Neodiprion lecontei: one gene and its partner. The protein of the gene in region 1 binds, or shares a complex with, the protein of each later gene. Links are inferred from orthologs where the notes say so. Each region holds a gene or a part of one and is shown on either strand. Other genes may lie near its edges.

Region 1 (17,368 bases):
TTGAAATAAATAATCACTATTGTTCATACCTATTAAATATTTATTAAAGCTGTCAACCAGCGGTCAAAACGGCTTTCTTGACCAATGTGAAGGGCTTCACATAAATATCAGGCAATCTTTCGAAACCCATATTATATATATATATACACACACACACGCCACAAATATATATATATACATACATATACATACATATATATATATATATATATATATATATATATATATATATATATATATATATATATGCACACATATACGTACATACATACACACACGCACACACACTATGCGACATATTAATAATGCATAAATAATTTTAAACGTAAAATAAATCATAACAAGCCTCTCCCTAGTTATATGAAGGAAAAAAGTATGTAATTAACAATAATTATGCAATGATAATATTAATAATAACAGCAATAAGAAATAATAAAAATTGATGCCAGTATTGGATCTGAATGTGCTGCAAGAAATGCCGAAAAATTAAGTTTAAGGTTACAACAAACTTGGACTTATAATTTATTCCTAATGTAAGCATAGCTTCTAGAAGATAAAATGATCAATTCTTTTGTTTGGTATCCACATAATTGCAGTGTTCCAATTTGCTTTGAATATAACGCACACGTTCGATGCTAATATTCTCACTTGCCAATGTTGTGTAGAATTTAATTTTCTTACGTAACAAGAATAGCGAGCAAGTATTTTCATATCTTCTGCGGTGGTAAAGCGACAACAACTATGTTGTAACCTAATCTTGGATTTTCAATAACACGTATCAACAAACTGTAATTACACAACATTTACTTTTCTAAACAGGCAGCAATTGTTACATACCTATACGATAGTTGAAAAAAATAACCAATGTAATATAGTGTCAAGACTGAAGGGTTTGGACTAAAACTTTTTTGGTAATGGCGTTGGTGCTACTTGCCTTTGTACTTTGGGCAGAGATTAGTAAGGCAGTAATATCGCACAATACTATTTACAGTAGTGAAAATGTTAAGTCATATCAAATGTATTGAAAACATCGTTTGAAGACATAGCCCTTGCCTCTTACCATCTATTGTAATTCAATGATTAAATAATCATTAAATATCCATGAGCGACAGTCCAATTAAACTTCATAAGCATTGCTGTCGATTAGTTTATGATCAGTTTATTTTAGTACAACCGCATTTCAAATACTGACAATAGAATACAATATGTATGAGTGATTTTTCATTCATATGCATCTTGACAAGATCACTTGAGACATTGTTTCTACACATTTCAATTCACTTTATAACTCGATTGCATTTTGGGAGGTAATCTAAGCTGTCATTGCTTTACAATCATTCCTCACATATTGTATCAATATTTGCAAGTGCCTGTTAGCTGATAATTGAGTTACATTCAACGAAGGTAAGGAAGAGGGTCGATAAGTAGACAAGCTACAACGTACAATATTCCAAGAAACATATTTAGTCTAGCAGTTTGCTTTGGTACGCCCTGGATAGTTTCTGGAGATCTGAATTCTTTTTCTATTCGAAATGCTGCGGGCAATGTGACCAGCGGTAACAAAAACCACACCGAGTACCTCAATGCAAGTACAACGAACGTTATGTAGGGCGAGAACAGTAAAAAGGCATACAGAACGTGTGACGCTGTGTGACCAATCAAAATTGCTAAAGTTACTATTCCGACGCGTCTGTCACTCTCCAAATCCCTTGTATTGTTACTATGTAGAATAGCCTCTGTGTTTAAGGCCAAAGGTATGGCATAATACATTGTGCCCCATTCAACGTATCCAGTCTGTGCCATAAATGCAAATAAAACGGATATCGGGCCAAATATGACTAAGATCAAAACATCACCTAGAGCTATGTATTTCAGGCCGATACCACCGGTATACAAAAACGAGGATGACAAACCTCCGAAATAAACAAGAGCCAGATGCTCCATTTTAGCAGGTGAAATGGCAGTAAGTAAAATAAAGCCTAAGCACCCTGCGGCATATAAGATTGCACCCAAAGATACGAGCTCATCTTTAGATAAAATATGATCGACCAATATTCGGTCGTCGCTTTTTCGACTGTCCACACCTTTGACATAGTCAAAGTATGTGTTTACAACGTTACCTGCCCCGTGCACCGAGACGATCGTGAATAAAGTAAGTACAAGTGATATCCAATTAAAGCTCGTTAATCCTATTAATCGATAGGCAAGTGCCGATCCAAGGAGAGTTGGCATCAAAGAAGCACTTAATGACCATGGCCTAAGGGCCAAGACGTAAGAGGACAATTTCATTAAAGGAGAATCCAGCGTTGATGATGTGGAGCTGGCGCCATCGAAGCTGGGTGATGGAGGGGTTGGATCCATCTCCGCATGGGGATTTTCGACTCCAATCAACATTTTGCTCAACGTTCTGGTATCCTAATAATAACGGAAAATTTGCAACAGGTTAATCGGTGAAAAATACTATTTGGAATTAGACGTTTTGTACATATCACCAGAAGACTATACCAATAAAATAGTTGAAAACTGTTTATTTTCTTCAATTTTTCAAGTTACGACAATAATTGTTGTCTTAAGAGAACTTTTAATCAGCTATGACCAATGATTCCTTACGGTACTTATACTTTTGATATACTACACATGCAAATTACACGTCGTCCATAATGCGATTAATATTCATGTTAAGGTATCATGCGAATGATTTCTATAGTAAGTATTTCATAGAAATATGTATGAAAATGCTATTCACCTGTGATACTTGAAGATCGGTAAAAGTTAGGTTACAGTGATGTCCATACTTCCGCTGCGAGCATTAAACATCCGTTTCAAAATACATCGGTATAATTTGATCTGTTATTCACATATGGGAACACATTTATCCTTCAGTCGTTTGACATTTCTGTGCGTACATTTAAAAAAAATTCAAGCAATGTCTCAAGACTCGAACACACTGGTGACGTGTTGCAGCGCTTACCACGCAACCCCGTCTATCTGCCATATAACGAACTAATCATTTTCGGTTCTCTGGTTTTGGATCTCTTCCAGAGAGAAATCTCTTCTAGGCTCTGATGAAACGATGCCTCCAACGCTCCATCGTTTCCTGTGCTTTCAAACAAATTAAACTCAAAGAACGGCGTAAAGCGTATTTCCGGTCGGTAAGGGTAGTTGATCGGCAGATTGACGTCAGACTTTATATTTAAAACACGACTCAGCACTATTCGGGAGATTTTTAATGGAAATTACTATATTTTTCGTATTCAACACGTAAAAAATGTCTCACCTCATTAAAATCAATTTGCAAAACTGTACAATGATTAACTTGCAATGCCACGTAAGGGGTCTTCTACTCAAGTAATCATGGTACTAATATCGTTCGAAATGATTTCATACTCTCCGAAATCACACTGAAATCAGCAATATTAAAATAAAATTCTACTTTGTAATGATTGGTAGTCATGAGAAAACGAAATTATATGAAATCTTAGAAAACGTAACTAATCATGAAATATTTTAATCATGGTGTCATTATTTTCTCAGTGAAACACGCCTTGATGTGACGAGTATCGGCGATGATAATTCTTCAGTCAACGATACGTTTAGTCGACTTTAATGCAGAGTACCGACGACTTTGCCTGTAGTAACGGCTTTCACGGAGGACTGACATATATTCTCCAATCAACGACTGACATCAGTCGGTACTAAAGGTATAAAATCATGCAAAATTCCAAAAATCTAAATTTCGGGAAAAAATCGTCATTTTGGTAAGTCATTGTAAATAATCGCGCAATCACATTTATTTAATCATGACGCAGGATTTTCAAGCAAAAAAAACTATCAGCGAAATTCGACACATCGAACGATTGTTCAAATTGTCAATTTCCGTTAGATGTGAACGTATTCATTTTTTTTTCTACGAGCCAAATAGAACGTTCGGTACCGTCGATTTTTACAACCGATTTGATGGCATATTCTATGACAGCACAGAACATTAGTTACCGAAAATTGAACAATTGAACACGTTCTTTCACACTTTTATGTTTGTATATAAAAAATCACGTTTCTATTTCAGATCTTTGTACAGAATTAAAAACAGAAACTCGAGAAATGGGTTTGCGTCATGAGTGTAAAAAATCGCTGAACTATTATAAGAAATGTTTACAATCATAGTATAGCTGATAGTGTAAACATGTTAAACTTGTAGGTGCGTCCTTTTATGTTAGCTTTTTCTGAATAACGATAACAGGATTAGTGGGTATTTTTGTTTATGTACATCAAAAAATGCTTTATTTATGCAAAGATTGTAGATCATACAACATCAATCTTCATTTGTAGTTCGAGCATTCATTAAAAGCTTCTGATGACATCTAAGTCCGCTGGATTTGGCAGCATTGTTTAGAAATCTGGAACATAAAAAAATATCTCCCGGCGACCCAACTTACCGTACAATCCAAAAAATCTGGCTGAACCATTATTAAGCTACGATCAGTATGTGGTTGAGGAACAAGATCCTTAAGTATCTCTGAGAGGCAAAAACCATAATACTTCTACGATCCAGCACTATTAAAATTTCTGGTCTCACTTCAATCTTATTTTTTTTTATTTTTATGTGGAATTGAAAATCATGCGATGATTTCTGCCTCTGAAAGATATTAAGGCCAGAATACCTGGAAAGCGGTCAAAAATCTGAAAAAGAGAACACCTCACCAACTTGCTATTGAACTAGAGAACCACTAAACTCACTTCACTAGTGCAACATGCAAATTTTCTGGACTTTCGTTTTATTTTGAGGAAGTTGTGCACTGAACTTCCAGCCTTAACAACAATCGTGTCAATACGACGAACTAACAATAGTCAATCTTTTTCTCTCTCCTTTAGTCTTTCCTTTTTACAGTTTCATTTTCCTCAAAGATGAGTAAGGAAGAAAGCGTAAATTTTAAACAATATGATTTCTTTCACTATATTGATAACTTGGGTACTTGGAGAGCAGTGTCGAAAACTTTTTACTTGGAGAACTTAGCACCCAGAGTTCCAAAACTATGAAATTAGCAACGATCTTCGAAAAGCCAGTTTATAATATTTTCTTCTTTACCAATAGAAACTTTTTTATTTTAATGTAAATGATGGAAAAAAAAAAATAAACAAAAACTTAGACAAATTAATCACAAGCCACATGATCACTAAAGCACAATTATCTCTCTGGATTTGCAATATGATGACTCAGAACCAATATTTCGCAACTACTTTGTTTAGAACAAGAAATAAACTGGCACAAGCCACTGGTTACACTGAGATCATTAGTTTCTTTTTGTTTTTGACAAAACTCGTATTTTCTTTTTCCATCTGTCATGAGATTGAGATCGATCAGCGTATTAAAACATTGTCGAATAACAAACCACAACACCAACTTCACGACCACTGAACTAAAATCAAAGAAAAGCCGACAGAAAAAAATGGAGATAAAAAAACGACCAAAGAACAACTATGTTCTTCTCTAAGCACAAGCATGCATTGTTTTATCAACCGAATAGTTTGTTAATTTTGGCGAACTCTGTTTTAAAACTTTGAATATCCTAGCATAACTCGAAACTTCCATTTCCTTCTTTCTTTCTTTCGCAAACTTGATTTTTTGTTTATGAACAAACAATCACAGACGTAACTCAGCTATTGATAATTTTCAACCACTAATTGAACTAAACTCATTTCAACTTGAACTTGATGGGTGGGCATATTTTTTTTTGACATATCTAAGAAATTAAACACAATCAATAGTTTTGTCTGCAATCGGCTCTATTTTTTCATTTCATTTCTTTTCTTTTCAACACCAGATACACTTTACCACCGCACCTTAGTTCGCCTCCGAGTGCGATTTGGACTTTCTCATATCTCAGATGTTCTGAGGGTTCGATTTCAAGATCGATGTTATTTTCATACCTTCATGATAACACCCTCGGAGGCGAGAACACAAGCACTGTTTTACATCACTGTACACAATTGGAGATTTCTGTAGTTTCTTTTTTTAATACCACCAAACACAGTCCTTTATGGTAAAGTTCACAGATTTCTTAACATGTTGCCAATGATTCTCGCGGCATTAGACGAAGTTTTTTTTTAGGGTTTTAGAAGAGATTTTGCTGTTCATTTTTCCCCACGGCCACTCAATCACTGTCCATGTTAACGAAATTCAATATCATTTTCACAGATAATTTATAGCACAAACACTTAAATCTTATGCATCTAAAATCTAAATCATATAAAAGTAAATTAACTGAATTTAATATTTTCATTATACGATGTGACCGTTTGATATTCTGTAAATTTAACAATAAACTAGTAGTTAGTTGTTGACCAGTCCTTTCGCATTTTGTATAAGAATAACAATGATCATTATTTACAGAAATCGCGATAAAGAAAAAAGTATATTAATGCGTGAGGTAAGAAATACTTTTGCCATTATTTCTCAGTTTGCAGACACCTTACTTTAAAAAATTTTCATCAATTAATGTAATTTGCATCCCTTCATAAGTATATGTATATATTTATATTTATATATACGCGTGTATATATAAATCCTAAGACGTTTATGCACTGCAGCAAAATTCGTACAATCACAAATGTGAAAGAACTGTGTACATGATAATTAACTGAGTATGTATACTAATTAGAATAGGTTCACTACAATTAAGTTATGTAATAGATTATGATTCACCATTATATCATATGCCATAACGGTCCAACGTTTATGACTCGGATTAAGAGAAAAAAAAAGTTATGCAGAACATTACTAAAATAATGTTTCATCTTCATAAAAATAAGTATTCCATTTTTAAATCAATCTTCGGAAGAACTTTGCAACTTTTCAATGTACTGTTTTGTTATCAGAGCGCTTACCTCGTGAAGCTATATCTAACATTTCGTAACCATAAGTTATTATTTCCATGCTTAATACATGTACTTCTTCTAACAGCCTTGTCAGAACTTTCAATTCTTCTGACCACAGCAGTCACTTGATATCAACATATTATTATGTCCTGGTATTTGGCTATTGCATACCCCCTTGGACGTGGTTTCGTCAATTTTTACAATTTGGCTGATTCTAAAAATGAACCGATAAATTTTGGGCTTCTGAAAAATGAAGCTATACAAGTTCCAGATTTTGTTACTCATTAGTTGAATAATTAAAATCAAATAATTCTGCAAGAGCTTTGTTTCGGGGAAAAAAAAAAAGATGTGCACAATCAGATGTAATATAGTGTGATTAATTTGAGACAATCTAGAAACACTGATCTGCTAAATACTCTGTGTATAGACCATCTGTACGTTAATCGTAATTAGTTACTTTCCTTAAAATTCAACCAGAAATTGAGGAAATCAGCCAAATTTTTGACCGAGTAATGTAATAGTATTGTAGTATTCAGCACGTTTACCTTTAATAAACCTTATGAGTAAGCGTAACTTAGGCACTGCCGCCTTTCACCACAACGATAACTAAGTGATCCTCTTTCAAACCCTCCTCGCTAAGGCTGGGACAAGTTCTTTTCAAAAGTTCGGTCGAAAAGGCGCACGGCGGGAAGGCATACAAGACTCCGGTTCCTTCTGTGTCTTTATTCAACAGAGATATTACTCCCGCAGCTTCTTTCTGCTTGAGATATGACACTAAGTTTCTTAGAGGTCGAGTTTGCACGTTTGCGTCATCGTTCGTGATGGTAGCGCTAGATCCGGCAAGACCTAAAAATATAGCATGTGAACTGGATGTTTGTATGCGTTTAGAAACGTCATCTAATTTTGGTTGGTCTAAACGAAGACGCTGCGTTATTCTCAGCATATGTTTCCCATCTTCATCCTTCATCAGCGCATCAATTATCTCTGTATCTCCATCTGTAAGGTGAAATTTAGCTGGAAATAAAGAATTTTTTAATATCAAAGCGCCTTGCCAAACCGCTATAGACTTTCGTGCAACTTCAGGAAGAGTTCGTGACGTAGACAGCATCCCTGTTCTAGCTGTTTCAGAATCGGAATCTGAATCCACAGGTCTTCTCCGCGGAGAACGTGATCTGGATCGATCTACACCTGGTTCCCGAGACAATGAGCGCCTCAAGCCCCTTGGTGATTCATATTCGAGCTCAGGTGGTGGCCGGCGGCTTGGCCAATCAGATTCTTCTCTCACATATCCCTCAGGATAAGCAGTTCCACGGTATCCCCCTCTGCCTCCTCCTCGTCTATCGTGCCATGGGGCACTTCCACGACCCCTGAATCCCCTTGGAGCATAAGCAAATTCACCTTCAGGAGCATAAGGATCGTACGGAGATTCATATTCCACTGGTCTTGGTCGAAACTCAGCTGCGTCTTCTGGGTACGGTCTAGGTTTGAACCCAAACCCGGGAGTAACATCAGCAAAATCAACCCTCAGTCTCCTATCTGGTCCCCCAAGCGGAAATCCTCTCATTTCTTTCACAGCAGCTTGGGCTGCGTCGATGGAATCATATAAAATGTATGCATTGCTATCTCCCTTGATGTAATCAATCTTTTTAATTGCCCCAAAACGATCAAACTCTCTCTCCAGCTGAGGCACGGATGTCCATGGCCCCAAACCGCCAACCCAGATACGAGTCGTTGGGGTAGCTTTACCATACCCAATTTTACACTGAAATTTACCAATGTACTGGCCAGATAATTCAACTTTGCATCTATGTGCCATATCCAAAGTCTGGAACCTGACAAAGGCATAAGCATTTCCAGTACCCGGTGGGGGTCTCTTGATATCGATGTCATCGACGATTCCATACTTGCTAAAGATTCTTCTCAGCTCTTCCTCGGTAATATTTATCTCCAAATTACCGGCAAACAAGGTTCGAGTCGCCAGTGGATCATCCTCAGGTGAAACATGATGCAAATAGTTTGGAAACTTGTCTTTCTTATTTTCAATTCTCTCAAAACCGTGAACAGGATGACGAATCATCATGTGTCTGGGTGGTCCATAATGATGCGGAGGACCAGGGTGAACATGTGGTGGTCCATGGTGTAGTGGTGGACGAACAAATTCGTGATGAGGAGGTGGAATTGTTTCTCTTCTGAGCTCCCTGTGAGGTGGAACTCCAACTGGTGGTCCGTAAACTCGTTCGTATCGTTCAATCGGTCTGTGCCTCTCTGTGGGCCCAGGTGACCTGGCATAGTAACGTTCGTAATCTGGGGGAGTGATGGATCTGGGTCGTCGGTAAGATTCGGGTCTTTCATAAACAGGTTCAACCAAGGCAAGCTTGTCGTATAAAATAATTCTTGGTTTTGCATGTTTCGCGTCTCTCGCATCCTCGGAACTTCTGAAGCAAACATAAGCAACTCGCTCGTCCAATTCATGAGAGATTCGTATGGAAAAGTCACCAAATTTCTTATACTCCCGGTAAAGGGTATCTTTTATTACTTCGTCGCTTGCTTTTGGATGTATCGAACTCACGCAGAGGACCTTGTAGCTGTACGGACGCTCAGGCGGTATCTCTCTGGGTGCTCGCATATACTCGTCCCTGTGAGAACTGGACTCAACGTATCTGGCATGAGAGGATGCTCTGGGAGGACTCGGACTCCGAGCCCCTCTAGAGCGCCGTCTGATTCGTTCCGGTGTAATCCTCTCATCGCTCGAATCATCGTATCTGAAAAAATGGGCAACATTTCTTGTCAAACAAGTAAAGAAAAATAGTTTAGAAAGAACGAGAATATTTTAATTATCAAAAAATTACGAAACTAATCACATATCGGGAATTCATACGAGGTTGAAAACAGCGCATGAGATTATACTCTTACTCGTCTAAGAAAAAAAAACCGATGCTTCACATCAGCAGACCGCAAGTGGAGGTTATATTGACCATAAATACTGTGGTCAACAAGCAGTAAATACCGGATTTATGCCACATTACCGTGAGATTAGGGCAATAAAATGTTGGTAAGGATTTCAGAGCAATGAACAGAAGTGTTGATTCCAGGGATAGTTGCGAATCATATTGGGTAGAAGCTCGATACTAAGAATTTAAAAACAGGCAAACCAGCGACTTCGTCGTGCGTAAGAAGTAAACTAGGGTCGTCGGACCGAATTGAAATTCAGTAAAACGTAGCAACTGACGAAGAGTGTAAAAAGAGTTTGGAATTTATGATACCCTGAGGTGGAACAGCATTTGGCATACCTTCCCATGGAGGATCTGGATCGCTTGACACGGGGCGGTGGAGTGTCCCGACTCGAGCTCCGTTTCATATTATTTCGGATTTTAACCGTTATTTTGTGGCGGTCGTCGCGCGGAATCCCAATCATCAACGCTGCAGAAAACCGTAAATAACTGACAAATAATTAATAAAATTATCCGCGTCAACTAAACGCACTCCACTCAACAGACGCACAGCAAAATGGCGGTGATCATTCGTCTCCTGACCGTGCCTTGTCGCGTCTTCCTCTCCCCCCTTTAGCGACGGCACAATGAATGTCGGCTAGTTTGGAGCACCGCTACTTGCCGCTTCCGTTTGTTTACGCTATGTTTTTAGATATAAGCGTGACACGTTAACGCTTAATTATTTTTTCATGACTATTTTAAAACTTGAAATTTTATTTCCCGCTCTTTGTTGCTTTAACAATCTTTGTAAATATCGCTAATAATTCTGATCTACTTGTCAACGCGTAGCCGTTCGTCGGCCGACGCCTTACTGGTTACTGGCCTTGCTGGCGTAAGATTACTAAGGAGTATAGTTGTACTGCATCGGTAACAATTCGATACCATTTTATGAATTCTAAAAGTTTATGATCTAAAATGTTTTTGGTAATGGGTAATTTTATCACCATGATACCATTTGAAAATCTAAGTCTGCGGATGAACGATCTTCTACGGAATTGTTAAGATGTCGGTAAGGTAGAATTACAATTAGCATTGACTAACATTAAATGAATCCTTGGTAAATACCTGTTAGACTGGTTGCAGCCTACAGAAGTACCCAGGCGTTTTCGGCGCTACCACGCATTTTCAAAAATAAGACTACGGTACTGCTTCAGTTGAAAATAAATGAAGAATCATTACTTGGATGAAGATGAGCCCAATGTGCTTACTTACTTCAGAATTATTACAGCACCTGCAAAAAAATGTCATTTAGAAATAACTGAACAATTGCCCAGTTTGGGGTTCGCACGAATTTTTCTGAACCGAGGGACAAATGATACTTTACCGTATCCTCATACTCGCAAGAAATGCCCCTATTTTTGGGAGGCTTTTTGAATCGCCGATCGTATAACGTGTGACTATGTAACTCGTTCAAACCAAAAGAAAAAAAAAAGAAAAAATTATCCACACATCTCATAGGTGCCTGAAGTTTGAATCGAACATTCAGATCTGTACGAATACAGAATTATTTGAAAATTCATGGCCCTAGAGAAATAACACCAACTACTCGGTAACAAGACCTTTTATATCTGATATTACAGTGGTAGCGTTCATAGTTTTGTGTATCTACATACCTATAGGTGTATTATGGTATTACCCAATTCTGCTCACTGCCCAATGTTTTGATTGGTTTCAATAACGATGACCTTTCGAGCAGATATAATCGACGCTACAGGGACGGCCTATTATACGTTTCTAGGCTCTGGGTATTTTGTCCCGTTCTTCCCGATGAACAAAGAATTATCGGATAGACAAATTCTTTTGATTCAAGCCTAAAAATTTAAAGCAATGCGATGTACAACATTGAGCAATTGATTGAAAATTTGAGTCACGTAACAATTATGAGGAACCCTATTCACGTTGATCGAAATAATTATTAGACGGCCCTGTATTAGGTATACGAGAGGTAAGTGACCAATAATGACAGCAGGCGTCTTGCAGTGGCAAAAAATCAACTTTCGTGACGGTTTCAATTCAGTCTGGCATCAGTTGATAACGAAAGTCATTCGAAGTATCATCGCCAAATTGAATCAAGATGAGAGAAATTGTTCACGTCCAGGTGGGCCAGTGTGGCAATCAAATCGGTGCACGAGTAAGTCTCTCTAATTCTAAGGGTTTTTTACTATTTTGATAAGATGAATTATATAAGGATCGTGCGAAAAATTTAGTCTCAGATCAAATTTCGTAGGACAAAATGGCTGATACGCGTTACATATAAGATTCGCACCTCGGTAAGATTCCAAAAAAAGGTGATGAGACTTTTGAGATATATGCAGCATATACATTATTTTTACTTTTTTCCAAACTTTGTGTAGTTTTGGCACATGATTTCGAACGAGCACGGAATAGATCAGACAGGAAAGTATGTTGGTAACGCGAGAGATCAATTGGATAGGATTAGTGTGTACTACAACGAAGCTGCAAAAAGCACATATGTTCCCAGGTCGATTCAAGTCGACCTGGAACCTGGAACCATGGACTCAGTGCGGTCGGGTGAATTTGGTAAAATTTTTCGGCCAGACAACTTTGTCTTCGGGCAAAGTGGTGCCGGTAACAACTGGGCTAAGGGTCACTACACAGAAGGGGCGGAGCTGGTTGACTCGGTTCTAGACGTCCTAAGAAAGGTAGGAAAATTATTGTCCGAACAATAGTCCAGCGGGTGATGATCGTAATACAGAAAATTACCTTGATATGCAGGAAGCTGAAGGATGCGACAGCCTTCAAGGCTTTCAACTGTGTCATTCCTTGGGGGGAGGAACCGGGTCCGGAATGGGGACCCTCATAATGTCGAAGGTCCGCGAAGACTTTCCCGACAGGTATGTTATACGTATCTAAAAATGATCGAATTTTCTCGTCAAATATACCGCTGCGGACATTGATATTTTTAGACACAATTTTACGGCACTTTGTTCAACAGGATCATGACGTCCTTCAGCGTAGTACCAAGTCCAAAAGTGTCGGACACCGTAGTCGAGCCATACAATGCCACTTTATCCGTTCACCAGCTCGTTGAAAATACGGATGAAACATTCTGCATTGATAACGAAGCACTGTACGATATTTGCTTCAGGACGCTGAAATTACCGTCGCCCACCTACTGTGACCTGAACCACCTTGTGTCCCTAACGATGTCTGGTGCGTAAGATATATTGTGGCAGCTGAGGGTACAATAATTACAGCATTGACGAATAATGGGGTTCACTGTGTCTTTAGAACCATCGTTCGATATGTACAATACAAAGATTTGCACATGTTTGTAGGAATTACCACCAGTCTGAGATTTCCGGGACAGTTGAATGCTGATCTTCGAAAGCTGGCTGTTAACATGGTACCGTTTCCCAGGCTGCACTTCTTCGTTCCAGGATTTGCTCCGTTGGTTGCGCGAAACAGTCAACAATACCAAGCTCTCTCCGTGCCTGAGTTAACGCAGCAGGTGAGGAGATCTCCATTTGAATCATAGGCAAATCATACAATGCTAATCAAGGATGCAGCCAGCTATAAATGTTTACAATTTTACTATACTCAACCTTCGATACATTTTACGATCACATGAAAGATGTTCGACGCGAAGAACATGATGGCAGCTTGCGATCCTCGCCACGGTAGATATCTTACAGTGGCGGCTATCTTCCGTGGAAGAATGTCGATGAAGGAAGTCGATCAACAAATGACAAATATACAGAATAAGAACAGCTCGTATTTCGTCGATTGGATTCCGAATAATATAAAAACAGCCGTCTGCGACATACCGCCTTGTGGCATGAAGATGTCGGGTACTTTTCTCGGGAACACCACTGCGATTCAGGAACTCTTCAAACGCATATCTGAACAGTTCACTTCCATGTTCCGACGAAAAGCGTTTTTACATTGGTGAGTTTATAGCGCACGTAGCAACCGCATGCCTGCATCGTCCCAGCAATGATTTTATACGACTGATTTTCATCATTCCAGGTACACCGGAGAAGGTATGGACGAGATGGAGTTTACAGAAGCAGAATCAAATATGAATGACATGGTTTCGGAGTATCAGCAGTACCAAGAAGTCTCTGCAGACGAGTCAGCGTTCGTGGACGACGAAGAGGTTGAAGGGGATGTAGAATTCAATGAAGACTAGTTTCATCCTGCGTGAAATTGATATGTAATTTTTGTTAAATTTTGATTACTTATTGTCTTTATTTTGCGGTGCAAATATAAACACATACCTGTATATGCCACTGATGGTGATGTATTGTAGTCGTACTCGTATTGTTCATATTTTGAATACGATTTCTCTGTTGCATGAAAAAGTGTCGATTGTTTAACAATAAAACGTCAAAAGCTCCTATTTTTGGTTCACCAAGAGACGATTAACCATTTTTGCTCTCATCTCCTCTCAATTTCTAAATTCCCATATCGATTTCAGATTGAAAGCTCGCGTGTGAGCTGATTCTGAAAGTGTTTCTCAGAGATTAGTACTGCACTTGCATTACACATACTTACAAAATGTTAAAAGAAACAATGATTTGTCAATTGTTTCTCGCAAAATCAGTATGTTAGGTTTTAGTGTGATGAAATGAAATGTGAGTGTATAATTCACGATGCTACGAATAAATGTGACACGTGTATATACATCATGGTTTATATTAACTTTTGTAGCGTTTTCCCAATAATCAATCAATAAGTGTATCAATGATCACCACGATTTCCTTCGGCACAAGTGATTGTTCGGAAACGAAAGTGTTATGGAAGCTGCTACGTTACAGGTAAACATAAACTCTATCATTGTTTCTCACATATCAGAATTTAATTTTAATGCTGAATGCACCAAGTCTTTGTAAATTGACAAAAATAGAAATATGCTTGCCACGAAGGTGAATATTGAAAAAATCATGTGTGTTCAAATCCATTCAGCAAGAAGAAAACACATAGGTATAGATTTTTTCTAAAATGCAAATACGAAATGCACATCGAAAAATCATCTTTATGTAACACAGTATATATGGTTTACGCGTCTTTGCCTGCGTTCCGAACGTCAAGTGATCGTTCCAGTGCTCTTTTTTGTGCTAGGCTATAATAAAATATTTGTAAACCACACTTTTGATACATAAAGTATCGACTGCACCATGGAGGCAACGTCTTTTTCGTCTCGCGTATTTGCAATATTCCTGCCGTATTTGCCTGCGACTCATATTGCAAACTTGCGCTCGGCGTAAAGAGACGTTGTTATACTTTACCTCCTTGGTACACAATCTACGATTATATATAAAAATTGTTTTTCACGGCTTTTAGACGTTGAAAAACAAATCATAAGATATTTTGTGGATATCATTTTGAAGACTTTTAGCTTTACGCTATCTGTGACCCTGCACAGATTCTTTCGGTCAAGGACTTCAATATCAAGACGGGGAATTACAGTTAGATTAATGGGCTGGGGGAAGTACCAATAAACATAAACTGTAATCGAATTTTTGCGTATAAATGCATGAATGATAAATCGAGGCATTTCAGCAACATTTGTATGTGCCGCGGGTTAATCAGTCGGACCGTCTGAATCAAAATTCAGTTTTTTTATTCGCCACTTACGACAATCTCGTTAATCTTAATTTTCAATCTTGGCTTATCTTCGCGCATATAGTAAGTACGCAGGCATAAATAGCAACAGGGCAATGGAATATTATCTCAGTTTAAAATAAGCTGTTGAATTATCATCGCGTGGGTCAGTATTGACCGTAACAGCATCCGACATCGGATTAAAATACATATACTAAATTTTCATCCCGTTTTTATTTGAAATCAGTTGCCCGAGTAAGCTTGGACATCATGAAAGCTTTATTCGTTGTATTGGCTCTACTTCTCGTCACTGTCTCTCACTGTACAGGAAAAACATTTACGCGGTGTGGATTAGCATTGGAATTAGACAGACAAGGCTTAGATCGTGGAAAAATGAATGATTGTGAGTATGACTGCCGTTTAATTACGTAACGGCATTTAACGCGTATTTCTATCACGTATTCATCTCTATCCTTAGTATTTTATACATAATATAACAGTTAGTTAACGAAAATTTCCGATGAAAAGTATGTGGTACCAAAAAGTTGCCATGGCTAAAGGAAAATCCATGTTGTGTATAATAATAACAAAATCACATGGCGATCTGGTTATTAACAATTAACATCAATTAAACAGGGGTTTGCTTGGTGGAAAAGGAAAGCGCGAGAAATACGTCAGCTATTGGCGGGCCGAATCGTAATGGCAGCTACGACTACGGATTATTTCAAGTAAAAATATAAAAAAGTTGACGAATTACGCCGCAAAGTTTGTCGAAATTGGCCAAATAGTTAAAATCTTTCTCTTTTTCATAAAATTACAGATTAACGGAAACATTTGGTGTTCATTGGGTGTCGCAGGGAGTGATTGCAACATAAAATGCGAAGGTGAGGTATAACTGCATGCATTGTTTAAGATTGAAAGTAGTACCGAAACAAATTTTGCAGTTTCGATGTTCTAATTTGAAAATTTATGCACGTTTCATTCATCCATTGTGCCAACTATTCAGGATTCCTGATATTATTCTGATCCACATTCATCCGCACTGATAAATTGTTGTACAAACACAGATTTACTCGACGACGATATAACCGATGACGTACGATGCGCTAAAAAGATTTATAGAAGACATAAATTCTACGCGTGGAATGGCTGGAAGAATGGCTGTTTGAACAAAGTTATTCCGGATGTTCATTACTGTTTCAATTGAGTATTTGAATGAAATTTTTTTACTTCATATTCTTGTAGATCGGAAAAAAATATTTTGGACGTATTTTTTATTTTTTCGATTGAATCAAAATTGCCATTAATATAACAGATTGAAAACTATAACATTGTGACGTCACCCATGCTAATATATATCTATATATATATATTAAAATCAGTGAAATTCAATCACCTATAACATGAAAAATTATCATTTTTAACGAAAAACAAAAAATACGTCCTCGTTATTTTGGCTTGCACTGCATTATGCACCCCTAAAATATGACAAAAAAATTTCATTCAAATACTCAATTGACCGATCGGAAATATAATATTTTGCATTAAGGTTCTATCAAAATAATTCTATAATTATACATCAATATTTTGTAACTTATGTTAAGATTATTAATAAAATGAAATAAGTAAATACGTCAGTATAGTTTTATGTATCTATAATTAATCTGTGAAATATAATATATTTGCGTAAGAGATTTAACGATCCTTTTTCTGTTACTAATAATACTAATTGTAAAAATAATATTTACCGTATCCAGAAGTCCAATACATATAATATTAACAGGATTTTGGAAATAATGCAAAAATATTTTTATACCCTAAAATGACTTTATTAACTCTTAACTTTACACGTGTTGAATATATATATATACTTGTCAGATCTATCTGTATACGTGTATGTATATTGTTTCAATATTTCACCATATATATTACCA
Region 2 (15,931 bases), on another chromosome or scaffold:
AATAAAAAAAAAAAATTTAAAAAAAAAAAAAAAAATATCTGAAACTTGACGAACAAAACACGGAAAAGCAAAGAATAAAAAATATTTAATCGTGTTCGAAATATTTTCTGTATAGTTAGCATGGTTATCGTTTTTCGTCCATTTCGTCGATGTATGATTAACTACGATTTTACATAGTTTCGTAAGCTCAAAGCGTTTAGAAAAAACAAAATAATAATTATATTAATAATAACATATGAAAATAAAAATAAGAAGCGAAAATGGAACAGCAACGGTGCAAAAAAAATTATCGTGACACTTATTCAGATCACTTTATTAAAAATCGATCAAGATAAATTACTTGGATTCAGACCGAACCTAAGTGTGGATACATCCGCGTAAGGATGTAACTTTGTACTAGACTTTTCTTTGTCCCCTTTCAATTCACGCAGGTTCATGTATACGAAATAGATTTATCGTTTAAGAGTCGTACGCAGCTTATTCTCTTTTCTCCTCAGAATATCGTTAAGTAATCCCTACTCTCATTGTACTTTGTTACGTGTGATAGAACAAACAACTTACAAAAAATAATAATCGTAATAACGCGTATAATAACATTGAAACATAATCAAAAATAACCAGTGGAGGTTTCTGTAATCGGAAAATTAAATATTTCGCTATACGTTAGAACTACTTTCACGATGTATCGCGTATATATCGTATATTGTTCCGAATATAAGCCGAGGTTTTTTGTCGTTGACAGAACCCGCCAAAATTGTCCTCGTCTTACGTGCAGGTAACTGAGAAAAACATTCTGAAATATTGTCTAAAAATTTGTGGTAGTCTTATACTAGGAACAATACGGTAATAGGTTCACATTACACGTGCTTAAATAAAAAGAATAAAAACTGCCTCAGTTTTCGAGTATACAATTGTTGCAAGTCGTAGTTTGAGAGACATTGTAGAGAGGTTTACATCGTAGTTAGAGAATAGATTTTGAAATGATGAGATTTTCATTATGGCGATTTTAGATTTGTGTATTTTTCTTTCTTATTTTTCTCTTTTTCATCTCTCTGAAAAATAATTACCATAGACCGCACTAGTGCGGTATCGATTTTATAACGTATACAAATATACACAAATATATTTACAACTATTATACAAACACATGCACGTGCTATATGTATTATAATAAATATAATAACAAATACACGACACGTGAAATCGTTCGAGGCTGCTTCAGCCGTAAATTTATAATCCGCGGTGTTCCTTAGCTCTACGTATTAAAAATTATTAATATACAATTTTACGCTCTGTATATGTTGATAAATAACTGGTTAATATTTAACTTTGAACACGTTTCATCAGATTACGTATACTAATAATAATAATAATAATAATAATCGCTCGTCGAGAACTTGAATATAATACTGATGAAAGAAAAAAAAAACAACGTAAAAAGCGAATTAATTAAGATTAGAATAAACTATATTAAAAAAAAAAAAAAAAAACATTCGATCAAAAATAACAAGTCTTTACATGATCATAATCAATGTTCACATTTTCAAATAATTCCGGTTACGTTCACTCACTATATATTTAACAACATTTTTTAGGTCGTTCTGTCCTAACGTAATATGTGCAGGAAAAACTTTCACTATATAAATTGATTATAATCTCTGTATACATATATATGAAATTACATATCAATCGCCATTTTTTCAACGATCAAGTGCACGCTTGTGTAAGTGGGCGTCGGAGTTTTAAAAAACGCATTGAAAAAATGAAAAATAAAAAAAATAAAAAAAAATAAAATAAAATAAAAAATAAAGAAATAATGACACTTGAAGGGCATAACAGAAACAAAAGGGAAAATGTAATTCCGCGCCGTTTGTGACTGTAATTTTTGAAGCTAACTCGCTTTAGAATAATTAAACCGGTTATCCGTTATAACCCACCAATTCTGCACTTTTTTTTATCTAATTTGTTATAATCCACCTACGCGTTTCAGTATTATTCATATTCCGATTGTGAAAATCGTTGGATAGTTAATTTAGGCAGTGCAGATTTTCTTTTCCTGTCGTTGACCGATTTATCGTGATGATTAGTAGATTTTCTTTTCTGTTGTCGGTGTGAAAATTGAATAAATGAAAATAAAAAAAAAATAATAAAAAAAAAAAAAAACGACCTTTTCTTCTTTTTAACGTGGAAAAGAAGGGTTTCCTCATCTATGCTATCATATAATTGGAAAAGGGTAGAAATCCTGCGGTGATTTTATTTCTTCCACATTCGATAGTTTGTTTTGATTTTCCTCTTTTTACAGATTTAACTACTATTCTTATTACCGTTGATTTTGTTAGGCACGGGGACGATCTGTATACCTATATAATAGCGTATTTATAATAAAATTCTACATGAAATGTACGGCTTAACACGTTCGCTAATAGTTAATTAGATTGAAAATAGTCATATACTGTATACATAGTATACATGTAGTTATTGTCACACATGCAATTAGTTTGTTTCGATAATTCGAATTATATTGAATAATTATACTTGGAGGCTAAAGTATTAACTGACGTTATACGTGTGCTTTGTTTAGTTCTTTTTTTTTTCTTCTTTCTTCTGATTTACTATAATTACTTATTAAGGTATTCCGTCGTATAATAATAGTTGTAGATCGATATTTCTCGTTGTTATATTTATAGTAATGTACTAATAGTATACTAAGCATACCTAGTTTCAATTTTGGTGTGATTTCCATTATATTTTTAAGTGAGAAGAAAAAAAAAATTGTAACACAAAATTGCCTTGATCAGAGCTCCTGCATCCTACAGACGTGCGATTATAGAAGTATAATATACGTATACGTTGTATGCATTTGATGGATACCTGGATGCTACGATCAATCGATCAAACGAAAAATGGATTACCGATTTTCGGCTAATCAGTATTTGGAAAAATTTCCGATTGATTGATCGATCGGTTGTTTGATTAACGAAATTTCACCTAATTCGAACATTTGACTAAATCAATCCATCGAGTAAAATGGTTTTTATAAAAACTATCGATTGAATTAATCGAGAAACTAGAATGATTTTTCGATTCTTAATTGAAAGAATTGGGACTTTTTATTAATTGATAAAGAAATCAATCAATCCCTAGGTCTCATGTGTATAATAATATGTGTAATATATGTTCGTTGTTGCTTTCTATTGGAAAAACGATATTTTACTTTAATTCTCTGTAGGTACGTGTGTAGGCAGGACGAGTTACTCGTCCGCTTTTGTGATGCAAAAAATTGTTTAAGAAAATCCGGTTGTGACGTGTAAACAATTGAATGGTATGAAATTTTGACAAGGAAATAAAAGGGAGGGATAAAATATCATGGGGTGGAAATTCATATTGATTACACAACTTATTATTACTATCATTATAATTATTAGCATTATTGTTGATATGCGTGAAGCTAAGCTGCATAATAATTGTTCATTTTTTTTTCTATCAAATTATATTGGATTGATCGTTGTGAACCGCGTCAAAGACCACAACGTATAGTCAGAATTAAATAAGCGTTGGTACGTTAAATACTAACTTTCAAAGATGATATGCAAAATAATTCTTTTAAATAAAGTATTACTTAGAGCGTAAACGTGTATGCCAGATATTTTCAGTGCTCCCACAGACCTCTGATACAGTTACACCCTGCACTAATATTTACAATCGCATTATTATGAATGCCTTAGGCATTTGCTGGTCATTTTGCAATTTTAATTATTAATTTCGAAATATTTTTGTGAAGATTTAAAAAACAAGTTCGATATCATTTTGTAAATATTGCAAAATGTTTTTTCAAAATGGTTCCAAGTCCCCGCGATGAATTTTTGAAAAGACAAGAAATTATATCAAACCGAAAGTTGATGGAAAAAAAAGGAATAGTATAGAATTCAATTGAACCGATGAAAATCAACAAGACGACGGTTTGTTGAGATTTTTCAAACATTTTGTTGTAATGTGAACTTGCCGAGTCTTTTAATACTTTTGGGACAATTTTATTGTTCTTGCAACAAGATAGAATTTAGTTCGAATATGCGCGGAAATCCTGAATACATTTTTTCTTGGTAGTAATCATTTTTCTGCAGACGGTAATTACGTAATCTGACAATGCGTGAAGAACGCTACACCGGGTTTATCTCCGTAGCGTTCGCGTATCTCTTACAACTGATTTAGCTCACAAGTATGCGGAGTTGAGAACATTTCTCATCTCGTCCTCTGACGCGATATATTGTAAAGTCATGGCGTATATGCTGCTTGTGGGCTGAAACTACATTTCGCCCACACACGACTGAAGAAACGGCAGCATTTGTATATGTGCGGTGACCACGAAGCGTCAGAGATGATCGCATAGCGTCGACGGCTTTCAGTGATCATATTGAAGTTAGTAACGTTATCGTAACGATTCATGCTGAGGAAAAACCGTTATTAAGCAAGTTTGGAATTGTTTGAAATTTAGTAAACTGTAACAAAACAAAACACACTCATAATTCAAAATCTTAGTGTAGTGATTGCCCCCAATGTTTCGATACCATAACGTCACTAACTTCAATCTCGTTTTCAGTGTGGGTTCTTTATCGCAATCAGGGTTCAAAGATCAAATAGTGCCGAGATCATTCTCAGTTTTTAGTCGATCTTGACGAGCTACATATTCTCGTTATGCGGGCTTTTGATCAATACGTTGTTTTCGCCCTGATCACGATTTTCTTCACCGTTGCAATCGCCACGTCTGCAGCATCAGACGAGCTGAGCAATGACGTAGACGGTCAGGAAACCGTTTCCGTGGTTCAGGATGAGATTCTCCAGGATCTTCCCTCCGAAAAGATCGCTACAGAATCGGCGCATGTTGCCGGTAAGCAGGACACTGACAGACCGGTAAATGGGAGTAAAACCGAGGAGGATCCAAATAAGCTTGATAATCTTTTCGAAACGGGTGTCGAGTCGTATCTGAACGATGACTGGCAAGGGTGCATCGACGACTTCCACAAAGCCCTTAACAGGTTCAACACAGTTTTATCTTGTCTACACAATATAACATAAAACCCAACGTCTCTTTGTCTGGCTGCAAGTATGTTCCCTTATAATTCGAGAACTACCGAACCGTTTTTGATCATTTTTATTTCTGTGGATAGCTACAACGTCTGGTCGGGTTTTAAGATACAACGATGTTTGTAAGCTAAGTTGGAACAGGATCGCACACTTATGCGAACGCTGACTAAACTTTGACAGATAGACGAAAGTTGGGTTCAAGAATTTAAAAGGTCTCGATGAGCTCTACTAAAAAGTTCGCGTTAGCGGTAGCATTTTCCATAATAAGTATTTGTAAATATTCGTGTACGGATCTGCAATGGGCTTTTAGTTAATTATAAGTTAGTAGGTAATTATCGATGTTTATTAATGCAATACATGGTGCGCCGCAGCTACAAAATGCACAAAAAGACGGTTGCTGATTGCCGAAGACAGTGCCGAGCGGAAGTTAACGATGTTGAACCAATATTTCCGTACGACATAGAAGATATGCACTTCTTCGAAAGAAAAGTCAGGGAAACGTTGTGTTTGATGAAATGCAAGAAGATCGTGAGGAATAAAGACAATGATAGACAGTTGCCCGTTCATGTGGAGAGGAAGTACATTGAACGTAAGGCCTACGAGTTTCTGCACATTTGCTATTACAAGGTATGTACAATTTACTGCTGATGAAGTAAAAACGGATTTCAAATATGAGAATTGTTGGAAAAAAAACTTTGGTGCCGAAACGAAATCCCACCATGTCATTTCATTATATCTCGTGTCGCATCACAGATAATATGTTTGTTTTTTTACGCGCGTTATAGACGAAGCGGTACCAGGATGCGGCGAATGCCATTTTCACGTTTTTGACCATTCACCCGACGGACAATCAAACCTTGAGGAACATGCAGTTCTACATAGATCTTCCCGAAGTCGTTCAAGAGGATATAGTAGATTTGGAAAGTGACCCATTCCAAGCAATGTACAAAGATGGAGTTATAGCGTATTACGAAGAAAATTATCCGGAGGTTATTGAGCAGCTTGAAAATTCTCTTAAGGCTTACATGAAAGCTGAAGAGGATTGCAGATTGTATTGCGAAGGTCCATTCGACCAGGGATGGCTTCCAGACTTTACCATGTCCATTGCGAGTGAGTTAATCCGAATTTTCATTCCTAATACGGATTGGCAATTCGCGAATTACATTTGAAACTTTGGAAATTCTTGTCTTATAGAATTTAAACGTTATGTAAACCCAATTTTATTTTCTAGATCACTTTGCTTTCGGACTAAAATGCAAGCGCAGCTGTTCCTACGCATTAAATAAACTCAACGGGGAACAGCGCCACGACTTGCTCATATCTCACTATCATTATTTGCAGTACGCATATTTCAAAAGTAAGATCTAGGAAATAGTTTCCCTTATAGACTTGTGTTTCCATTGTGGATTGCTCATAGTTTAAATTGCTTGTTTAAAAACCGTTTTAGTTGGTAAATTTAAAGAAGCGTGTGCCGCGGTTGAAAGCTTTTTGCTTTTCATACCGACCGATGAGACCGTTTTGAGAAACAAGAGATATTTTATGGAACTACCGGAAGTCAAAGAAGAATACTTCAAGCCACGCGAGGTAATTAATTATCATTATTAGAGTCAGGAACGCACGGTCTTTGAGAATAACTAAGGATCAAATAAATTGATTTGCGAACTTTTATTTCTTTTTTTCGCAGGAAGCCGAGTCGTACTTCAAGAGGCAGGAATACGAACTGCGCATTCTGCTCTACATACAAGAACAATTTAATTCTGCAAAAAATTGAACTGAACAAAACGCACGTCCAAGAACAATTTAATTCTGCAAAAAACTGAACCGAACAAAATGCAGTTTACTTTTTTACAATTAATTTTATGCATACATTCGTTTACATGCATTAATAAATATACGTAAATAATTAAGCTTCTTCAAGCTCAGAGCGCAAATCACCTGTCTTTTAATTGTAGAATTGAAACTGATTACATGATTATTAGGAATTTCGGATTGAATCAAATAGTGGAAATCACAAACCCGAGAAAAACTATAAGTAATTAATTTTACTTTGAAACAAACTATTTCTTCTGATTCGGAATTTTATAATTTTCGAATTAAACCGTTTTTCACTTACACGCAAATCGATCTATTTTATTTTAATTTTACAAATCCTGATCAGATTTTGCCGAATCCGTCGCACATTTGAAAATCCAAGTAATCCCATAAAATTGTCGAATTTTCTTTAACCACGAATAAATTTTTTACTTTCAAAAGTTTTCTATCCACGGATATCGATCAGACATTTTGCATCCCAAGTGAAGCTGGCAACGCCGAGTTCACCCGCTTGAATATTTATACTCCCGGGAAAAAATTCACAAGCAATTCAGTTGATAATAAGATTTATTCGAGAAATATTACAAAATACATTTACGGCGATACCAAACTTTTGATACACTGCGAAAGTTGATTCCTAGTTTCCTACAATGCGTAATAGATAGCCAATTACAACTTCGCAAATAAACATAACCTATACCTAACCTAAAAATACCGCATCCGATTTTCTCGTTCCTACATTTTCGTATATTTATGAGCCAGTAAAAGTTTCGGTAATATTTTTTTTTTTTACTTTATTTTTCCTAGGAAATCGAGGCTTAGTTGTTGTTGTTCGAAATCATAACCTTCGTATGTGATAAGGAAAGAAAAAGAGATGAAAGATGTCTGATGCATTTGAGGAAATTCAGGCGATAAAGATAAAGAGGAACAGTCTAAGAGAAAAATTGCAAAAACGTAAACGAGAGAGACACGAATTATTCACTCTCACTTCGACCCCACCAGCTACAGAATCATCTGTGATTGGTAGCTGTTTAATTTGTTGTTTCCATTACTTTCAGTCTCGTATTTCTGTTTCAAGCCTCTAATTTCAATTTCAGACACGACTAATAACAAATCTGAACCGGTTGAATACGAACAAGATGTCTTGCGAATTTTGCATCAGTGTATCTCCAGCTTACCAATCACATCGACTGATCTCACAGATCAACTCAGAAAAGCTCTCAGCATTGACATATCATTTTCAGATATCAACAAGCTCTTGGAAAAATTATCTGCACAAGACATTATCAGGTATTTACTTAATGAGAAAAGTTTTTTATGCGAATAAACAAAGCACGTAATCTCGCAATATTTTAAGACATTTCATCCGCAGGATCAAGGAAATTACAGAGAACGATGTCGTCGGATATACAATTCTGTCTATTGCGGAATCGAATTCCCAGGCAGAGTTGTTACATACTGAAAACATCGTTGAAGAGGAAAAACTGGGGGTTTCACTGCCTGCCGCAATCGAGGAGGAAAGTCCACCCGAAAAACAGACAAAGCTCGATAAGAAGAATACTGAGGACATCATGTCACTGATATCTATGCCTACAATAAGAGAAAAGGAGAGTAAAAAAGTCGGGGAACAGATACTGGACCTTTTGTCAAAACAAACATCGAAGGAGAAGTCATTGGCCGAACGTTTTAGGTCTCAGGGTGGTGCCCAAGTTATGGAATTTTGTCCACATGGTACTCGTACAGATTGCTCCAAGCTCAATGGCAACAGTCAGCCAGGGTCTGGGCAAGCGTTCAATGAGAAGTGCAAGAAATTGCATTTCAAGAAAATCCTTCAAAGTCATACTGATGAAAGCTTGGGAGACTGTAGCTTTTTGAATACTTGCTTCCACATGGACACTTGCAAGTAATAATTGACTTTATTTCTTTTCCCCGTTTTATAGATTCATCAATGGTGATAGATTCCTGTGAAATTCGTTGATAAGTTTAGATAAGTTCAGCTCTATTTGTTTTCATTTTTTTTTTGTTTTCTCTTGTGCATGTTTCAGGTTTACCAAACTCGGAAAACTAATGATCGAGTCGATAAATTTAATGATTTAGAAACCGAATTGAAGTTGGGTAAAATCAGTAGAGATTAGTTCACTGGATTTCATTGCGTATCACAAAGTACTTCTAAACTAAATTACTATCTTCAAAGTTGCTCACAAAACACTTAAATATTGGTCATCACGTACCTTTGAAAATATTCTTTAAGTACAAAATAATGGGCTTTCGAAATTTCGAAATAATTCTAACAATATTCCAGAATACAGAAACCAAAACTTTTTAAATCATCTGTTTTCAAGGTACGTTCACTATGAAGTTGACGGTCCCACTGCGCAACCTAAAGATCAGGGCGAAGCAGACACAACGACTTGTGGAAATACTTCCAGAACAACTGCTCTAGATCCAAAACCAGTGAGCAATAATAATGGCTCAACGGGAGCATCGGACCTGACACTGTATCCTCCTCAGTGGATCCAGTGCGACCTGAGATATCTGGATATGACAGTGCTGGGAAAGTTCGCAGTCATAATGGCGGACCCTCCTTGGGATATCCATATGGAGCTTCCCTACGGGACAATGTCGGATGACGAAATGCGGCAACTCGGAATCCCTACCCTGCAAGATGAGGGTCTCCTATTTCTTTGGGTGACCGGACGAGCCATGGAATTAGGCAGAGAATGCCTCCAGTTATGGGGCTACGACAGAGTGGACGAGATTATTTGGGTGAAGACTAATCAACTTCAGCGCATTATAAGAACTGGGAGAACCGGTCACTGGCTCAATCATGGGAAAGAGCACTGTCTGGTTGGTATGAAGGGATTTCCCAGGGTAAACAGAGGTCTGGACAGTGATGTCATCGTGGCCGAAGTGAGGGCGACGAGTCATAAACCCGACGAAATTTATGGGATTATAGAAAGAATGAGCCCGGGAACCAGAAAGATCGAGTTATTCGGAAGACCGCACAACGTTCAACCGAACTGGATTACTCTGGGAAATCAGGTCGACGGTGTGCGATTAATTGACCCGCAACTGATTAAAGCTTTTAAGAAACGCTATCCCGATGGAAATTCGATGAAGCCGAGTAAATCTTAGCGATATTTAATATTCTGTATATTTAGAACAAAATTTTCAACATCGCAACCTTGAGAATCTTGACAGCGGACGGATTATTAACAATAAGATAGGAATTACAACTTGACCAAATATTTTGTGATTTTTAAGTTTCAAAATGGTGATTTCAAAAATTCAGACGTGCTGGAATTGAGCAAACAGAAAAAATTTTTAATAAAAAAAATACTAAAAATATTCATTTGTTCTATTTTTTAATCAATGCCACTACAACGATACAGTAGGTACGATATTTGTACTTGCTTTTTTGTGTCACTTTTTCTTTAAATATATAAATCATTATTATAATAGTTGTTCCCAAATTAGCAATAGCAATATCTATTTACAACAAAGTTGATAAATTACTGATCTGAAACAATATTGGAAAAGAGACAGAGTGTCTAAATACCAAGGATATGCCACAGCTGCAGATTATCTCTGAAAGTTCCAATGGATAGAAAAGAACAAGAAACATTTACAGCTTTATTCTATAATTGCAGTTTTGAAAATGCAGAATTATAGAATAAGCCACGTGATCTCCCTTTCTGATTGATGTGATTCTTAAAGTAAATATTTAAATAAATTGACAGATTTTTCACACAAACGAATGAAAGGTTCAAATTTAATTTTCACTAAATGAAAAGTAGCTTTCTTTGTTTTTTATTCTTGGAGAAGATTCCGAAGTAATTCAGCGAATTCGGATCATCAGCATTAAAACACCCTGCAAACTTTGCTGGTGTTGAGTAAAACGTGCGTCTTATCGTCGCCTAAAAGATCTCTCGTCGAATTTAAAAATAATTATTAACTAAAGAGAAAGTATAAGAAAATAAAACCTACGCTTCACGAGTCGTAACCTAATATCATAAAACACCGCGTTTGTCCGAAGTTCTCTATGTATAAATGCAGGAATATATATATTTACATTAGTTGGATCATAAAAAAGTATGACTGATCCAATTATATCAAAAATGAATGCGCATTATTTATCACAAAATGAATTAATTTGCATTGTCTTTCGATTATTTGTATTGTCTATGCAATATATGAGTTCAAAAAAAGTTACGCGGCATAGAGAACACAAAATTGATAGTACACCGTGAATTCTGTTAGCAGTTTCTTGAAGCTGGCCAGGATGTGATTGAAAATTACAAATTTGCTATGACCAGATGTCGCATAAGATAAAAAGTATAAAAATGAATGGATAAAAACTCAAAAAGTCAAAATATTTGAACCTAATATTAAAACTCTGAAATCCGGATAAAAATAATGGATGGCCATAACGTTAAAAAATATGAGAGAAAAATCAAAAAAAAAATCGTTGTATTATAAAATAGATACTTGTCAGAAAATGAAAAATTTAAATTTTTTTGCAATTTCTCTCAAGCATCGATCACACTTAGTCCTGGTTTACCAATTTATGGCTTCGAATTAATTACTAATCGCAATTTATCAAACCGAGCGATTCGCGTAGTTGTTACATCCGAATACGCAATATATATTTAAAAGGGATGAATTTTGAAAAATATATTCAATTCAGCGCTAGTTATTATCCGTGGTTATTAAATATCACACATTTGGACTCCATTCGGATAACCGCATTTGTTTTATCGTCTCAATCGATTGAAATTTCCTTACGTAATCATTTTTTCATAGGTATTAACGCCGACAACGATAGCACTGTGAATGGATTTAATTTGTTTTTTTTTAGTTGCCGGAAAATGAAACACCAGATCATCCGTGATACGTTAATTACAAAAATGACTGTGAAACCATGCGACTAAAAAAATATGTATAATTTCTTAACGCAATGGATGTATATGAATATAGTAGTTATATATGAATAAATCATAGTACTCTTCACACTAGGCTGATGCTGTTTCTTTTATCCCTGAGAAGGCTTTTTCTAAGAGAAATCGGAAAATGACTGCTGCACAAATCTCCGACAGACTTCAGTTTCCTTGTACTTTTCGTTATCGGGGACTTTTCGCTGATTTCACTCATTTTATCCACGTCCTCATTCTCATTCTCATTTTCATTTCGATTCTCTTTTTCTTTCCTTTTTTTGTTCTTTTCCTCAGTTACAATAATATTTCCATCGTGATTTCTTTTTCCATTTGTAGAAATAGTATTTAGCCTACGAAAAGACTCAATCCAATGCCGTTTTGCATGCTCATCGTCAGCATTAAGCGTGTGTTCTGCAACCTTGAATGAGGTAGTATGAATTTTTTCACCCGCCTCGATTTCAAACTGTACCCTTAACTGATCTCGTAATACGACAGGGAAACATGGGTTACACTTTCTGCCTGGTCTCCTCGCTGGACGAGCCAGTACAAAGCAGTTATCAAACAAGAAGCAATGCAGTTTCTGCAAAACAAAATTACTTTCGGTTAGAACATCAGCGTGCTAAGGGAATTAAAGAAAGAAAATTAACTCAATTGAGCGCACCGTTCCTTTAGCATCTCTCAACTGCCCCTCGGTAATGACTTCCACAGCATTTTGTATGACTTTATGAGGATCGCAAACTGGCGAGGGGTTGATTTTATTCTGGGCTAGCTTGCACTCCGAATTTCCCATGGCTTCGTCGATTTCTATAAGTAACTTGGACAGTATATCACTCACTTTTCTCAGCGCTGTCTGATCAGGATGATTGCACGGGGTGTGCCTGAGGATTTCATTAACAAGGATAGGATACTTGACGACCCTTGATCTCGGAACGTCCAAGTATGTCCACAAGTCAACGGCCCGTGGAACACTTGTTCTTTTCTTCAGAAATTCTTGGAAACGTTTATTATTTGCGCGTTTTGCCTCAAGCAAGTGTCTCGCCCACACCTGCGCCTTGCAACGATCTACGTAGCGCTCGGCGAGACTTGGTAACTAAAATAAGAGAAAGAATGAAGTAAGTGTAAATAAATGGTTGCACCAACTTTGTGTGAAATTGAATTCGAAATCTGTAGATTCTGATTTTCTTGCATAAGACCCTGGAGAATATCTTATGAGAAAATGCTTGATTCACTATACGTATCGTTTTTGAATCATATCAAGACTATTATACCAATTTTTATATTCTTAAATTAAGAGCCAAACAATTTGGTGTGCAATAAGAACGAACCCAGCTGATTAAAATGGTTCCAACAGCATCCGTGAAACCCGACTCGTCTCGAAGACAGACCAGTTCGTCTCTAAGCTTTTTGTGGAGGTCTACAAGGCTGGAAATGTCTCCAAATAGTGTGGCGAGTTCACCTGGAGTCAGGATATCGCTTCGTAGCAAAGGCTCGTAATAGAATTCTCTGAGATTATCAAGGTCCCGCAACAACACATCCTCCCCGCAGAATAATTCATAGATCGCCTCTTGACGTTTCACTTCTCTTCTACTCAAGCTCAAATCCAGGTGCCCGCTGGATTTCCCTTCCGCAATATCCACAATCCAGCTACGGATGGCCAGCTGATCCAGTCGCTCCGCGGTTACTTTTGATCTGTGCGTAAACCCGGACGGTCATATATGTGAGAAACAAAATTAGAAGACGGACATCTTTTGTGTTTGATATCAGTGATGGATTATTTTCAGATATCAAAAACCAAAGTTTAAAGAATCAAAGCTTCAAGGCAAATACAAAAGTTTCATTAATCGTGTTTTAAAATTACATTGGATTCATGTGAATTTAAACTCTGTGACACATTCTCGAGTTCCTTACCTTTTTTTTGTCTTTCCCGAATCAACCTCCTCTCCAAGGAGAGAAAGATCGGTTACTTGAGAGCTGAACGATCTTTGAAGAACACTTCCAAATTTGCTGGGTGTCAGAGATGAGGAGGAAGAGGAAAAGAAGCTCGATGCGACTTCGGTAATTCTGCGTCTTTTTTTCTTCTTGATACTATCAGACCCCATTGATATATCCATCGAACTGACACTGGCCGCATCGCTATTTCTACGCTTCCTAGATCGCTGGAATGGTACGATTGACATTAGGGTGGATACTTTCAGGTGTGAGTGAGTACGACGTAGAAGAGTTGATGAGCTGATTTTGGAGAAGCGATTCAGAACAGCAAAAACTATAACGAATACGTTACCATCCAAAATCTCTTCTGAGGTTCTGGAAAGTGATCTTTAATTGACGTATCGCGATCCTCTTCCATCTCACTGCCGCCAACTCACTGAGGGAAATTCGAGTAGCAAGAATTCGGTCGGATAATGATTAGTTAAAATAACCTAACTTTCGGTTGGCGGTAAACTGATATCCAACGGATGGCTGTTGTTTTTAACTAGAACTAATTAAGTTCCGAGTAGGTAATGTGTTTTTAATTATTTTTTATGATAGGTCGAGACAATTTAGGATAAGACACATCGTTCGGCGGTCATTGACACAAATCGTCAGACGCCATTTATGATGTGAATTCGAATATGTCACGGTAACAAGCAGATTTGTGTTGTGTCGCTCAAAGTCGTAAAGCAGAGTTTTCATCGACGATGAAAATTGGACACGAGTCCACGGTCTGTGAAAATAACATAGACGGAGTAGTATCGAGATTTCGAAATTCGAGCATTGAAAGCGAACGAGTGCAGCGATTGCGAAAACAATGAAACATTACACGCCAAGCATTAAACTCATTTTGTTTTCTCTGCCTTCAATTATTTCCGCCCTTAATCAGTCGTGTTCACGAATTTGTTCTAGCAAACATCTAATTATATATTTACGATAGCGTTAGATTTTCGCCCGTGATGATAATCAAAAAGACGTGTTGTTGAAAGGACTTTACGACGGTAAGATTGTAAAATCTATTGCATTTTCGTAAGTACTTTCGTTTTTTTTTTCACCATGGTTATCATTATGTAATAGCAAAGCTCTCGGTTGTCAACACAATTATTTCCCTGGAGATAATACATAATTAAACAAAAACAACGAAAACAGAAGACAAATAAAGAGAGTGAACATTTTTCGCCGTCAAAGATACATAAGAAACATTTTAAAGCATCATTATTTTTTTACGAATTCTAAGCAATCGTCATGATAATTCGAACGCGAAAAAATTCCAGATTATTCTATTGAGACGAAGAGGAAAACTGCGACATAGTGGTTATATACGTATTACAAACTAATCGGCGACGTGCACACGATCTGTGAATATTGATAAGCCCCTAATTCGTAATACCTAGGCCTGTAAATGATCTAAAAGACACGAAAAGTCCATATGTGAATTTTTGAAAATATACCATAAACTGTGAATTTGTCAAAAGCATGACGGGACATCAGATTATTGGCAGTCGATCTATCGACAGCGAGGTATCGAGTTTGTCGCTTCACGATTCATCGTTAAACGAAATCGATCGATGTACATCAAATATCGATAACTCGCTAAATTTGTACCATCTTTCGAAAATTGAAAAATGCTTACTCTACTTGTACAACACTCTGGACCTTGAGGACGATGATCGTTGTCATAGATACAATAATGACCAAGATTCGACAGTGAGCAATGCCTCGATTCTTGCAAATTATACAGAAAGTGAAAACGATATGGAAAATGAATACAGTGTAAGAAATTCCTGTGATACGGGAAAATTATCACCGGAATATGACGTCAAACGGGAAGGTTTTTCTCAAGTAAAAATTGAAAAACCGACTCACCGTTACATCGCTAAGAGAAAAAAATACAACAGGACGGTAAGAAAGAGAAATAAAAATTACCGGAGACAAGCGTCTCATGATGAGATTACCGAAAATTTAAACAACTGGGCAAGAATTGGTAGTAGTCGGGTGAAGTTTCACCCTTTCTTAAGAATATTTGACAAGAATGGCTTTGCAGTTACCAGATCAGTGAAAGACCACGACATTCGAACCCTACGATATTCGAACACGCCTAAGTTCAACTCGTTCCTTTTGAAGGCAGCATT

What was found.
Region 2: RNA-binding protein spenito (region 1) and N6-adenosine-methyltransferase subunit METTL3 share a complex: the UniProt entries of both Drosophila melanogaster proteins name them as parts of the WMM complex. The link is inferred for Neodiprion lecontei from reciprocal best matches to the Drosophila melanogaster genes nito and Mettl3.

What each region holds. Positions count from the first base shown.
Region 1 is NC_060260.1:35,829,673-35,847,040, reverse strand, and holds RNA-binding protein spenito, read right to left. Parts: upstream 10,668-17,368; 5' UTR 10,292-10,667; coding exon 10,167-10,291; intron 9,639-10,166; coding exon 7,451-9,638; 3' UTR 5,810-7,450; downstream 1-5,809. Other genes in the region: ubiA prenyltransferase domain-containing protein 1 homolog, read right to left, coding at 1,396-2,394; tubulin beta chain, read left to right, coding at 11,941-11,997, 12,221-12,529, 12,603-12,721, 12,823-13,040, 13,166-13,338, 13,462-13,775, 13,857-14,019; lysozyme, read left to right, coding at 15,705-15,837, 16,071-16,162, 16,255-16,318, 16,502-16,641. UniProt on the Drosophila melanogaster protein: RNA-binding protein that acts as an associated component of the WMM complex, a complex that mediates N6-methyladenosine (m6A) methylation of mRNAs. M6a modification plays a role in the efficiency of mRNA splicing and is required for sex determination.
Region 2 is NC_060264.1:30,605,578-30,621,508, reverse strand, and holds N6-adenosine-methyltransferase subunit METTL3, read left to right. Parts: upstream 1-7,352; 5' UTR 7,353-7,548; exon of another isoform or gene 7,549-7,701; 5' UTR 7,702-7,775; coding exon 7,776-7,917; intron 7,918-7,991; coding exon 7,992-8,184; intron 8,185-8,266; coding exon 8,267-8,797; intron 8,798-9,236; coding exon 9,237-10,029; 3' UTR 10,030-10,971; downstream 10,972-15,931. Other genes in the region: prolyl 3-hydroxylase 1, read left to right, coding at 4,693-5,033, 5,454-5,709, 5,868-6,192, 6,314-6,439, 6,530-6,666, 6,767-6,853; neuroepithelial cell-transforming gene 1 protein, read right to left, coding at 11,902-12,408, 12,490-12,918, 13,154-13,517, 13,737-13,984, 14,110-14,175; uncharacterized protein LOC107228079, read left to right, coding at 15,555-15,931. UniProt on the Drosophila melanogaster protein: Catalytic component of the WMM complex, a complex that mediates N6-methyladenosine (m6A) methylation of mRNAs, a modification that plays a role in the efficiency of mRNA splicing and is required for sex determination.